Linked DNA regions of Bombyx mori. The protein of the gene in region 2 purifies or fractionates together with the protein of the main gene of each other region. This does not show direct contact. Links are inferred from orthologs where the notes say so. Each region holds a gene or a part of one and is shown on either strand. Other genes may lie near its edges. The genes, in order: cullin-5, COP9 signalosome complex subunit 3 and protein mahjong.

Region 1 (2,953 bases), on a different chromosome or scaffold from region 2:
CTTAGCACTATTTGGGCCGTTAGGTTGATCACACATCTATTGTAATTAAAGTTGCACATTAAATATTTTTTAGGTCCTCCTCGTAAATATTGGATCGTTAAGTACTGGCGGCCGAGTAATCGCCACAAAAGTTGATTTGGCTAAAATCGCCCTTACGAACCCTGTTTGCACGGAAATTGGAGAAAAAGTAGCATTGAGTAGAAGAGTAGAAAATCACTGGCGGTTAGTATCAATGCATAACTGGTATACCACATGTGCTTTGAAACAAGTTTTGTCAACATATTATTACTTATTTTCAGGTTAATTGGTTGGGGACAAATTCAAGGAGGTACAACTATAGAACCAGCCAACAACTAATTTTATGTTTTTTTTACATTTAATAATGTAAACTATGTTCTATGTATTTAATAAAATATTAACATAATATCAATATGCATTTATGTTACCTACCTTACAATTACTAATAAACAACACATGATATTTTGAACTATTAACAGAGACTACAGATATAGATATATAAACAGAGAAATAGAGTAAATAATTTATTGATTTTATTCATTTACATTATTGACTTTAGGCCATGTATATAAACGTGTTAATATCTTCGTCGTCGCGACGCATATATTTATGTTCAATAAGCCATTCTAATTGCTCTTTTATCATTTTCTTCGATGGTAGAAACATATTTTTTAGAATCTCTACCAGCTCGCTCTGCAAGGAATAAAAATAATAAAAATTTGTTACTTATTTATAAAGAGCGGACGGTTAGCGTGTTATGGTCATATTGTGATGCGTAGAGATGCACGTAAATAGGAGATGTATGGAAATTGTGGTATCCTGCAGGGGAAAAAAGGTCGACCGAAGAAGACATGGATGGAGTGTGAATGACGATATGAGAGAGAGAGGAGTGAGTGTTGAGATGACGGCTGATAGAGGAGAATACAAACATTGGCAGTGTCGATCCCACTTAGTGGTATAAGGTGGAGACAAGGAGAATGTATTTATTAGTGAACAATACAAGAAAAATCTTCAATTGGTGATCTTCGTCACTTCGTCAGCCCTTATCGTCTGAATTTCTGCTGCTTAGAATAAGATGTAATATTTGAATATGTGAACCCAACACACCTTTTCAATTATTTAAATACCATATAACATTTATTGGAGAATTAAGAATCATGAAAGCAATTACGAAAACATTGTCAAAACTTATTTATTTAAGCAAAGGCTTTCTTCCAAACCAATTTATTATACCTAAGTATGTTCAAATTTTTCTTTTGTTAAGTCATGGCAAAATTATAATCAATCATCATTTGTGCAGCATGAACTAGCTCAGTATCTACTTGGTATCAAGTGTGGTTACTGAAATATAAAAACACTACTACCCCATGTGGTAGAAGACCACTTTGCACTATTATGAGTGTAACCTGTAAGGAATACAGTACTTACTGATGCAATCTCCTAACACAAAAAGCTTACCTTAAGTATTTATATACATATTTGTTTTTAGTGGAAAGCATTCATGTACACATGTTTGGAACAGATATTCAAAGTTAACACAGTAAAAGCTCTTTATTCGCGCTTTCACTATTCGCTGATTAAAAAAATGCGACCTAATGCCTACGTTCGCGCCTAAAGATTTCTTGATTCACGAATCTCTATCTCGAAATCTAATCAGTACATACACATTGATATAAAAGATTCCAAGGTAGGAGGTCGAACCGAACATCCTTTGTAAACGCGCTTTTCCATATTCGCAGCATATTTAGGGAAAATATAGCCTGCAAATAGAGCTTTTACTGTACATCGAAACAAAAATATATAAGTTCCATACCTGAAGTGCTGTGTTTGTAATGCGTTTCCTCATCTTTAGTATTTTTATGATTGCCTCTTGAGTCCTCAATATTCTTAGCTGCACAATGGAATGATTATCTTCTATTTGAGATCTCTCTGTACTCAACTGAAGTCTTCCAATCAAATTTATTTTACCCCTACGTTGTGGTTTTCCATTCTTAATAAGCGCAAATTCCTGATTTACCCAAAATATTGTATTCTGGACAAAGTCTTTAGGATTTTGAATCAATGGATCATAGCACAACAATTGCCTTTTTAATTTTGGGAAAGCCACAAGAGACCATAAAGTCCTTCTCAGTTCAGGGTCTGGAAGTTCTGTTGCTAATCTCAAATTTTCATAACTTATTTTTTCCATAGGTCTTTGATTCCATGCAAATAGCACTGCCATTTGAAAAGTTGTAACATCCAAGTCAAAACGACCTACTGAATTAGCAAATGTTATAGTGCCATTGCTCATGTGATGATACCACTGCAATTTTCTACCTGAATGCTTTTTTTTATAAAACTCTTCAACTTCAGGAATATAGTCTTCTAATTCTAGTGGCAGACTTACTGTTACTCTTTCAGATCCACGGGCCCAAGCTCCAGCATTGAGTATTTTAATATTGATGGCATCATGACGAGTTGTGTCTGCCCTAAATTGTGTATTCAGATCCTCACTTACTTTTACATCTTGAAACATTCGTGCTAATTTATTTACATAGTCTGCAGGCATACCTACTTCACGTAACCACTCTACCATATCCTCTTCTTTTTCAGAGTCCGCACTTGAGTCTAATATCAATCTTCTTGTTAAATGAACCTTATGATACCTCATAAATACATCTTTGTTTTCAATATATTTCAAAACTAACAAAACGTCTCTTAATCTTATTTCTATCTGTTCACTAGTTAATCTTTTACTTAGCGGTGTTTTTCGTAATAACATATCACAATAGTTAGCGAGAAGTTCAGGGCACTTGCTTTCAGGAGCTGTACCTTTACTACCACGGGCAAGAGTTGATGAAGGCAACTCAAGTTTAAAAACAGTTGTATCATTTACCACGCATTTATAGGCCTTGTCCCTGGCAGTTAAAAACCTTGGATCATCCAAGAAGGCATC
Region 2 (3,764 bases):
ATAAGATACTATTTTTTAAGAAATAGACCAATGAAAAAATTAATTTTAATATTTAAATTGAATTAATTACACTAGCTGCTAGTGACTAGCATAATAACAGGTTATTCGTGAGTATTACTGACCTTGCACTCAGAGATAGAAAATATTTCTTATGATTGTCTATAATTAAATATTGTAATAAATGAGGGTTATTTTATTAACAAGTATTTATTTTATTTTATTGAGTTTGTGTTAAACTTTTTTCTCAGTTTTTAACTTGAAATATTAGACCACACAGCCACACAGCTTATACACAAAAGATGCTACTGATAAAGTATTATACATAAATTGATTGATAAAAATTCAGTATTTACAATCACACACTGAACTATGAAACACTCATGATTATACTACTAGGCTACTATTATACTACTAGGCTATGAGCAGGGTCAACTCTAGTTTTCAGAGATATCAAAGAAGGTAAAATATATAGAGGTTCAGCATTCTGACTAAAAAAGATTGACAAAATGAAAAGCAGACTTACATAAATCAGTTGCAAATCGAACTTGTTCACCATTGCAGTTATTGATAAAATCATGAAACTGTTGATACATAGTTGACCTATCAACTTCTGGATTGCCCTGTAAGGTACATAAGTTATATTGATTCAGAAAACAGAAATAAAAGTAGTTAATATGTGATGAACAGTTTATTTCATGCTGTAGAACATTATACAGTTCAAAACAAAGAGAAAACCTAAGTTAACATTATATTATTACGAGATATTTTTTTCAAATTAATATTGGACCTCATTAAGTTTGTCAGTATCAATAAATATACTACTACAGATTTTTTTCAAAATTCATGTTGGGTGACTTTGCAGCTTTTTAATACGATTTTATTAGCTTCAGTTGTATGTATGTTAGTATGTAACAGAATCTTTGAACATGATTTTGACCCCCTTACCATGCATGCACCATGCACCCCATGCTTTTTTACAATAAAATAATTTTTTCTTACACCATTTTTAAATCAAATTTATTTTCTATTTTTTAGTTGGATTTTCTACAAAAGCGTATTTTGTTAGTATTTTTAAACCATTATTTATTTAATTTGAGTTTAGGCATAAAATGCCTTGATAGATATAAAATATATATAATATATGTTATAATTATTGCTGTGAATATTTAGTGATACTAGAGGTCCCGCAGTAGTCGAAATTCAACTATGATTAATTGGAATTGTAAGTTTTTACACTATTATGATTGTATTTTATACTTCTATAATCACAAATTTCACCAAGACTACACTATAAAAAATATTAACAAAGACAAACAATATTTAATTTCAATTTGACAACAGACGTCAAGAACAAAAGTTTGACAATAAATAGTATGCATGCGTGTGTGCGTCAAATACAAGGTATGTAGTGTGTGTAATGTTTTCTTTATTGATTTAATGTATCTTTTATGCATTATTCAAAAAATATATTAACATCATGCACTTCTTCTGTATATTCTCTATAAGTGTGGAAAATTTCATACTCCTCCGTCCGCGCAATTTTCTTAAAAAGGGATACAAAGTTCTTGCTTCATGTATTAATATATAGATTTTGATACAGTTTAAGTTAGACTTAACATACATTTAGATTTCAATTACACTTTAAGGCCATTGTAATAATTTATGTAAAGTTAGAATGCATAATTAAAACACTTACCGGAGGCAAGGAAAATTTGGCCACCAGGACTGCTAAAACACCCAATGAATGCTGTTGGATATCAAGAGTTTCAAGTACTGTATTGAGGTGGAAGCTATTCCTCTGCAACACTTCATCTGATTTTGCAATAATCTCATATAAATCGCGAAAATTACCTGAAAGATAAGACATTGTACCATGAAGTTTGATTTAATGACGTTCTAATACATTCCAATAAATTTGTTTCCTAAAAAAGAATCAGGTTTATTATAATATTATTATTATGATTGCGATTGTGTCAGGTGCCTACTTTTTTTATTCCATGAATTATAATAGCACGGTACCTGATGCCGACATTGTCCTCACATTGTTGACAAATTGTTCTAAAGGAGAAGCCATTGTGATAGTAGTATCAGATAAATTATATATGTGCTTGAATTAATAAATGTTTAAATAAATTGTTTCTTTTTTCTACATTTAAAATAACCCAGACGAAAATAACATGAATTATTGATATTTTTTTGACATGAGAAATTGACAGCGGTAGTTGTTTATTTAAATACATCAATATATTAGGCAAAGAGGTACTAGACCATAATCTTGTAAAAAATAAAGACTACAGCTATAAGTGTTGTATAAAAAGTAAAACGGAACGAAATGAATTAAATTTGAGCTGAGATAAGACAAAACATTATGTATTTGTGCGATATGATAAAATAGGTATGTGTTAATCTCTTTCTTTTTTATTGTTATTTTCAGTAATTTAGTCTGTATCACACCCGTAATAAATGTTAGTTTAAAAACTACATGAAGAAATAAGAAACTATCCCGTAAAAGATGCGCTCGCTCTTTTGGCTAGATACATAAATCACTTAATTTTCTAAAAATTATGTAATAAAAATATATTCCGGCTCAAATAAAATTGAATCAAAATCAATTCAAAGAAAACAGTCATGAGAAGAGTTAATTTTATTACAAGAATGGTGCTATTTTACTAAGAAATTATTTTCTTGCCATCATTCATTATGATGCAGGAAAAACTATCGAAACTTGTGTTTGGTACTTCACACCTGGATACAGATTTTTGCTATATAAAACAAATTCGGCCTTACAAAGCAATTCCGGCCTTGCGTGGAGTACTGCTCTCACCTCTGGGCCGGGGCTCTCAAATACTATCAGATAATTTCCATTGGACTTCATACAGAAGAGAGACGTTCGGATTGTCCATATTCCCGTTCGCATGTATCGCTTGGAGCTCTCTGTCTACAGAGAGACTTCGATTGTCTCTGGGTTTTGTATCGTATGTCCCATAGGGTGTGCTCTGATGTATTGTTTCAGATGATCCCATAATATTAATTTTATAATCACATCACCCGTTATCGGAGAAGAGTTCTGCCATGTACCATCCGGCTTTTGAATGAACTTCCCTCTACGGTGTTTCCCGAACGCCATATATAATATATAAAATATATATACATATATATATATATAAATCTCCTTTACAGATGATCTATCTTTAAAGGAGACTTAAGAAAAGTACGCAACGGTAGGCAGCGGCTTGGCTGTGCCCCGGCATTGCTGATGTCCAGGAGCAACGGTAGCCACTTACCATCAGGCAGGCCATATGCTTGTCTACCTGCAAGGGCAATAAAAATAAATCTGTTGCATTATTTAATTCCATTTCACATTTTATTAAACTGACATGTTTTTGCCTTTTTTAGATTTGGTTTTATGGGTAATTTTTTCTTTGTCGGTTCAGTAAAAAAATCTAATGAAATAAGAATGTACTAATTCTATTTTATACAATGACATTATTCATTTTGAAATTTGACACTAAACAATAAAGTTCCCACAAAGTTCCTCAATAAACACTGAAGTATGAAACTAGGTTTCCTACTTCAGTGTATGAAACTCAATAATGGAAATGAAAGTGTCACTCGTGTATTATGATGTAATACTGTCATTATATATTAAGTGTATAATCTATGCTATCATTCATTGACAGTTCGGTTGAGACTTTTTGGCGGGAACGCGAGGAGTGATTGATTTGTTTTATTTTGTCTATTTAGTGTTTCTTCGTGGACATAAC
Region 3 (3,664 bases), on a different chromosome or scaffold from region 2:
AACTCAGCGGGGTGATGCATGGGTTAGGTTGCACGTCGACTTCTTTGTCAGTTTCGACAAGTATAGTTACCGGGGTCCCTAAGCCAACTGCCAGTGGAGCCAACCTTCAGACATGAGTTCAGACATGACTGCTTAGGGACGCACATAGCGGTAGATTTTTTTAATGCTCAATAATTATCGGAGTCCATGGACATCTACAATGTAAATGCCACCTTGAGATATGAGTTCTAATGTCTCAGTTTTTAAAGCGCAACGGCAGCGACGTCCTTCAAACCGAAACGCATTACTGCTTCACGGCAGAAATAGGCAGAACGGTGGTACCTACCCGTGCGGACTCACAAGACGTCCTACCACCAGTAAAAAATATTTTTTTGATTATATCTGTTTGTCATACTCAATACTCCGTAACCCCGGTAAGTGAGCATATTTAAATAGATTTTACTTTCATCTGTGCTAACCACAGATTCGATTCGATTTCATTTAAATCCACGTTAAAGAAGTGAAACTTCTTTTGCGGTGTTAAAATCTTGTGTTTATCTTCATTTTTCATATTTTAATCAAATTTCTCTTATAATAGGCAATGTTGTGTATAAGAGAAACGGCCTAGCTGGCTTTCTCCTTCTCTCCACACGGTCGAGTGGTCCGCGAGACGCTCTGTCTATTCTCTCACTCTCGCTCTTCCTAAATTGTATCTTTTCTCTCTAGCCGTAACGAATCTGTCGTGAGAAGTTTCACTTCAACAAATTATGAATGAATCTTTTAATGAACATACCCGTATGGGCGTTGAGGGTGTGTAGACTGGCGGCGGGGGAGGCGGCGGGGCGGCGGCGGCGGGGGGAGGCAGCCCCGCCTCGCGCTGCAGCACGGCCGCGCTCTCGTGCAGTCCGCGGGCCGCTAGGTGCTCCTGCACCAGTTGCAGCAGCTGACGCTCGTTGTAGTTTATTCGCGTCTGGGCCACCACGTTTGCCTGGACATCAAAAGTTTGCGTTCACTAAATTTACACATCAGACGAGGCTCTTCAAAATTTATCCCTTTGCGTGAGTAGTGTATAATCTGTGCCGAAGCTGAAAAGTACACGTCATGGACTTTTTGGCGGGAACGCGAGGAGTGAAGTTGTGTGATTTGTTTTATTTTGTCTATTTAGTGTTTCTTCGGGTTTAAATGTGTAATAAAGGTTGGTCTATTAACTGTTTAATATCTGTGAAAGTGCACAAATGTGGAAAAATGAAACAAAGCCGCTGGACGCAACTTCTCGAGATCCTCCAAAAAGTCCACTGAAAAAATCTCAGTAAATGACCACCATTTTACTGCGATTATATCATCCCATATCATCTCATTTAATTTCACTTCATTTTATCCAAGTTGATTAATGTCTCAAATTAATCATCTTCATTTCATTTCCTTCCATAATATAATTTTTCATAAAAATACGAATATAATTTAAAAATAAGACATGATTTAAAGGTCTCAGTTACCAGGTCATAAAATCCCTTAAAAAAAAGTACACGTCATGGAGACTTTTTGGCGGGAACGCGAAGTTTAAAGTTGTGTGATTTGTTTTACTGTGTCAATTTAATGTTTCTTCAGGTTTAAATATGTAATAATGGTGGTTTATTATCTGTTTGATATCTGTGAAAGTGCACAAATGTGGGAAAATGAAACAAAGCTGCTGGACGTAACTTCTCGGGAGCCTCCAAAAAGTCTACTGAAAAAGTCGCAGTAAATGATCACCACTTTACTGAGATTATATTTCATCCCATATCATCTCATCTCATTTCATTTAATTTCATCCCAGTTGATTAATGTCTCAAATTAATCATCTTCATTTCACTCCATATTATCATTTTTTTATAAAGATAACAATATAAATTAAAATAAGACATGACTTAAAGATCTTAGTTACCAGGTCATAAAATCCCTTAAAAAAATACACATCATGTTGACTACGACAAGCTAACATACATACGTCTGAAGCTAATAAAAGCGTATTCAAAAATCTGTCACCTTGTGTATATTCGCCAATGAGGTTTCGAACTCGGCTCCCATGTGCTTGCTCTTCCCGGAGACGCGCTCCAGCAGCTCCAGCGCGTACTTCTGGAACATCACGTGCTCCTGGCGCTTCTCTTGGAGTATCGGGTCGCGCATCAGCACTGGGCAAGAACGTTCTAGATTATTATACATACATATCGACGCTCGAAAGGCAAACGTGACTGAGCGACAATAACTGCTTTGTACATAAGCGATAGGCAATAACCATATTCGATGCGCAAAAAAATATTATATTTTTATTTTTTTTATTGCTTAGATAGGTGGATGAGCTCACAGCCCACCTGGTGTTAAGTGGTTACCGGAGCCCATAGACATCTACAACGTAAACGCGTCACTCACCTTGAGATACAAGTTCTAAGGTCTCAGTATAGTTACAACGGCTACTCCCACCCTTCGAACCGAAACGCATTACTGCTTCACGGCGAAAATAGGCGGGGTGGTGGTGCCTACCCGTGCGGACTCCCAAGAGGTCCTACCACCAGTGATTACGCAAATTATAATTTTGCGGGTTTGATTTTTATTACACGATGTTATTCCTTCACCGTGGAAGTTAATCGTGAACATTTGCTAAGTACGTATTTCATTAGAAAAATTGGTACCCGCCTGCGGGATTCTCGTCGGCAGTAAAGGAAATCCGCTTTCGTCACCAGGCTTGGAGGACGCGTGGGGAGCGGCGCCACCACCACCACAGCCCCGCGAATTGTCGATACGAGAGCTCGGGTCGCATTTGCTCCAAACTTTGGACGGTTTTATATTCGTAGTGGCTCCGGATGGCAAAATTATGTACATCAGCGAAACTGCGTCAGTACATCTTGGCTTGAGTCAGGTGAGTCGGCACCAATCTCCTAGGTACTAAAGGCGATCTATTGAAATATATAATATATCGACGCTTGAAAGGCAAACGTGACTAAGCGACAATGTGTGAACTTTACAGTAGACTAATTTAAAGTTGAAATACCTGAAAAAAATTCTATTTTAACGAATCTAGCTGTACGAATGAAATGATTTTAATAGACCTAGAGATATATATATATTTTTGCGCATCGAATGTGGTTATTGGCTATCATTTATGTACAAAGAAAGCAGTTATTGTCGTTATATTTATTGAACTGTGGTTTGTTCATCCTCTTTCAGGTTGAGCCCGTGAGCTCACCTACTAGTTAAGGCTACGCTGATATAGCCTCTCAAGGCTCTCAGCTAGGTAGGAAAAAAAATCTTAATATAATATAATAATAATATAATATAATAATATCCAGGTATCGTATGATAAAATACTATAGTATCTTTACCATGTGTGACGCCCTTTAGGCGGTCAGTGACTAAGTTTCATGAGCTCTGCCGCAAACCAGTTCTGATAGGAAGGACACGTCAGTCCTACTGTCAGCGAGCAGAGGGCGCTGCGGTCGGTCGGCTCACCTTGTATCTGCGAGGTGGTGATGAGCGGCAGTTTGGATATGATCTGCCGCACGGTGGGGCAGCGCGCGAGCCCGGCCAGCGCGCGGCACGCCAGCCCGCGCAGCCGGTCCGCGTCCGTGATGGGCGACTTCACCGTCATCAGCGCCAGCAGCACCTGCGGACCGAGGGCAGCTGCAACACGCTACTCGCAACTTATCTT

The links.
Region 1: the proteins of COP9 signalosome complex subunit 3 (region 2) and cullin-5 purify together in Homo sapiens (affinity purification with mass spectrometry; 3 studies listed by BioGRID and IntAct, with this or other methods). This does not show direct contact. The link is inferred for Bombyx mori from reciprocal best matches to the Homo sapiens genes COPS3 and CUL5.
Region 3: the proteins of COP9 signalosome complex subunit 3 (region 2) and protein mahjong purify together in Homo sapiens (affinity purification with mass spectrometry; 5 studies listed by BioGRID, with this or other methods). This does not show direct contact. The link is inferred for Bombyx mori from reciprocal best matches to the Homo sapiens genes COPS3 and DCAF1.

Annotation. Positions count from the first base shown.
Region 1 is NC_085129.1:7,724,674-7,727,626, reverse strand, and holds the end of cullin-5, read right to left. Parts: coding exon 1,832-2,953; intron 712-1,831; coding exon 574-711; 3' UTR 530-573; downstream 1-529. UniProt on the Homo sapiens protein: Core component of multiple cullin-5-RING E3 ubiquitin-protein ligase complexes (ECS complexes, also named CRL5 complexes), which mediate the ubiquitination and subsequent proteasomal degradation of target proteins.
Region 2 is NC_085119.1:8,374,551-8,378,314, forward strand, and holds the start of COP9 signalosome complex subunit 3, read right to left. Parts: upstream 2,340-3,764; 5' UTR 2,075-2,339; coding exon 2,020-2,074; intron 1,852-2,019; coding exon 1,697-1,851; intron 621-1,696; coding exon 524-620; intron 1-523. UniProt on the Homo sapiens protein: Component of the COP9 signalosome complex (CSN), a complex involved in various cellular and developmental processes.
Region 3 is NC_085130.1:15,869,276-15,872,939, forward strand, and holds part of protein mahjong, read right to left. Parts: intron 3,620-3,664; coding exon 3,466-3,619; intron 2,151-3,465; coding exon 2,005-2,150; intron 968-2,004; coding exon 773-967; intron 1-772. UniProt on the Homo sapiens protein: Acts both as a substrate recognition component of E3 ubiquitin-protein ligase complexes and as an atypical serine/threonine-protein kinase, playing key roles in various processes such as cell cycle, telomerase regulation and histone modification.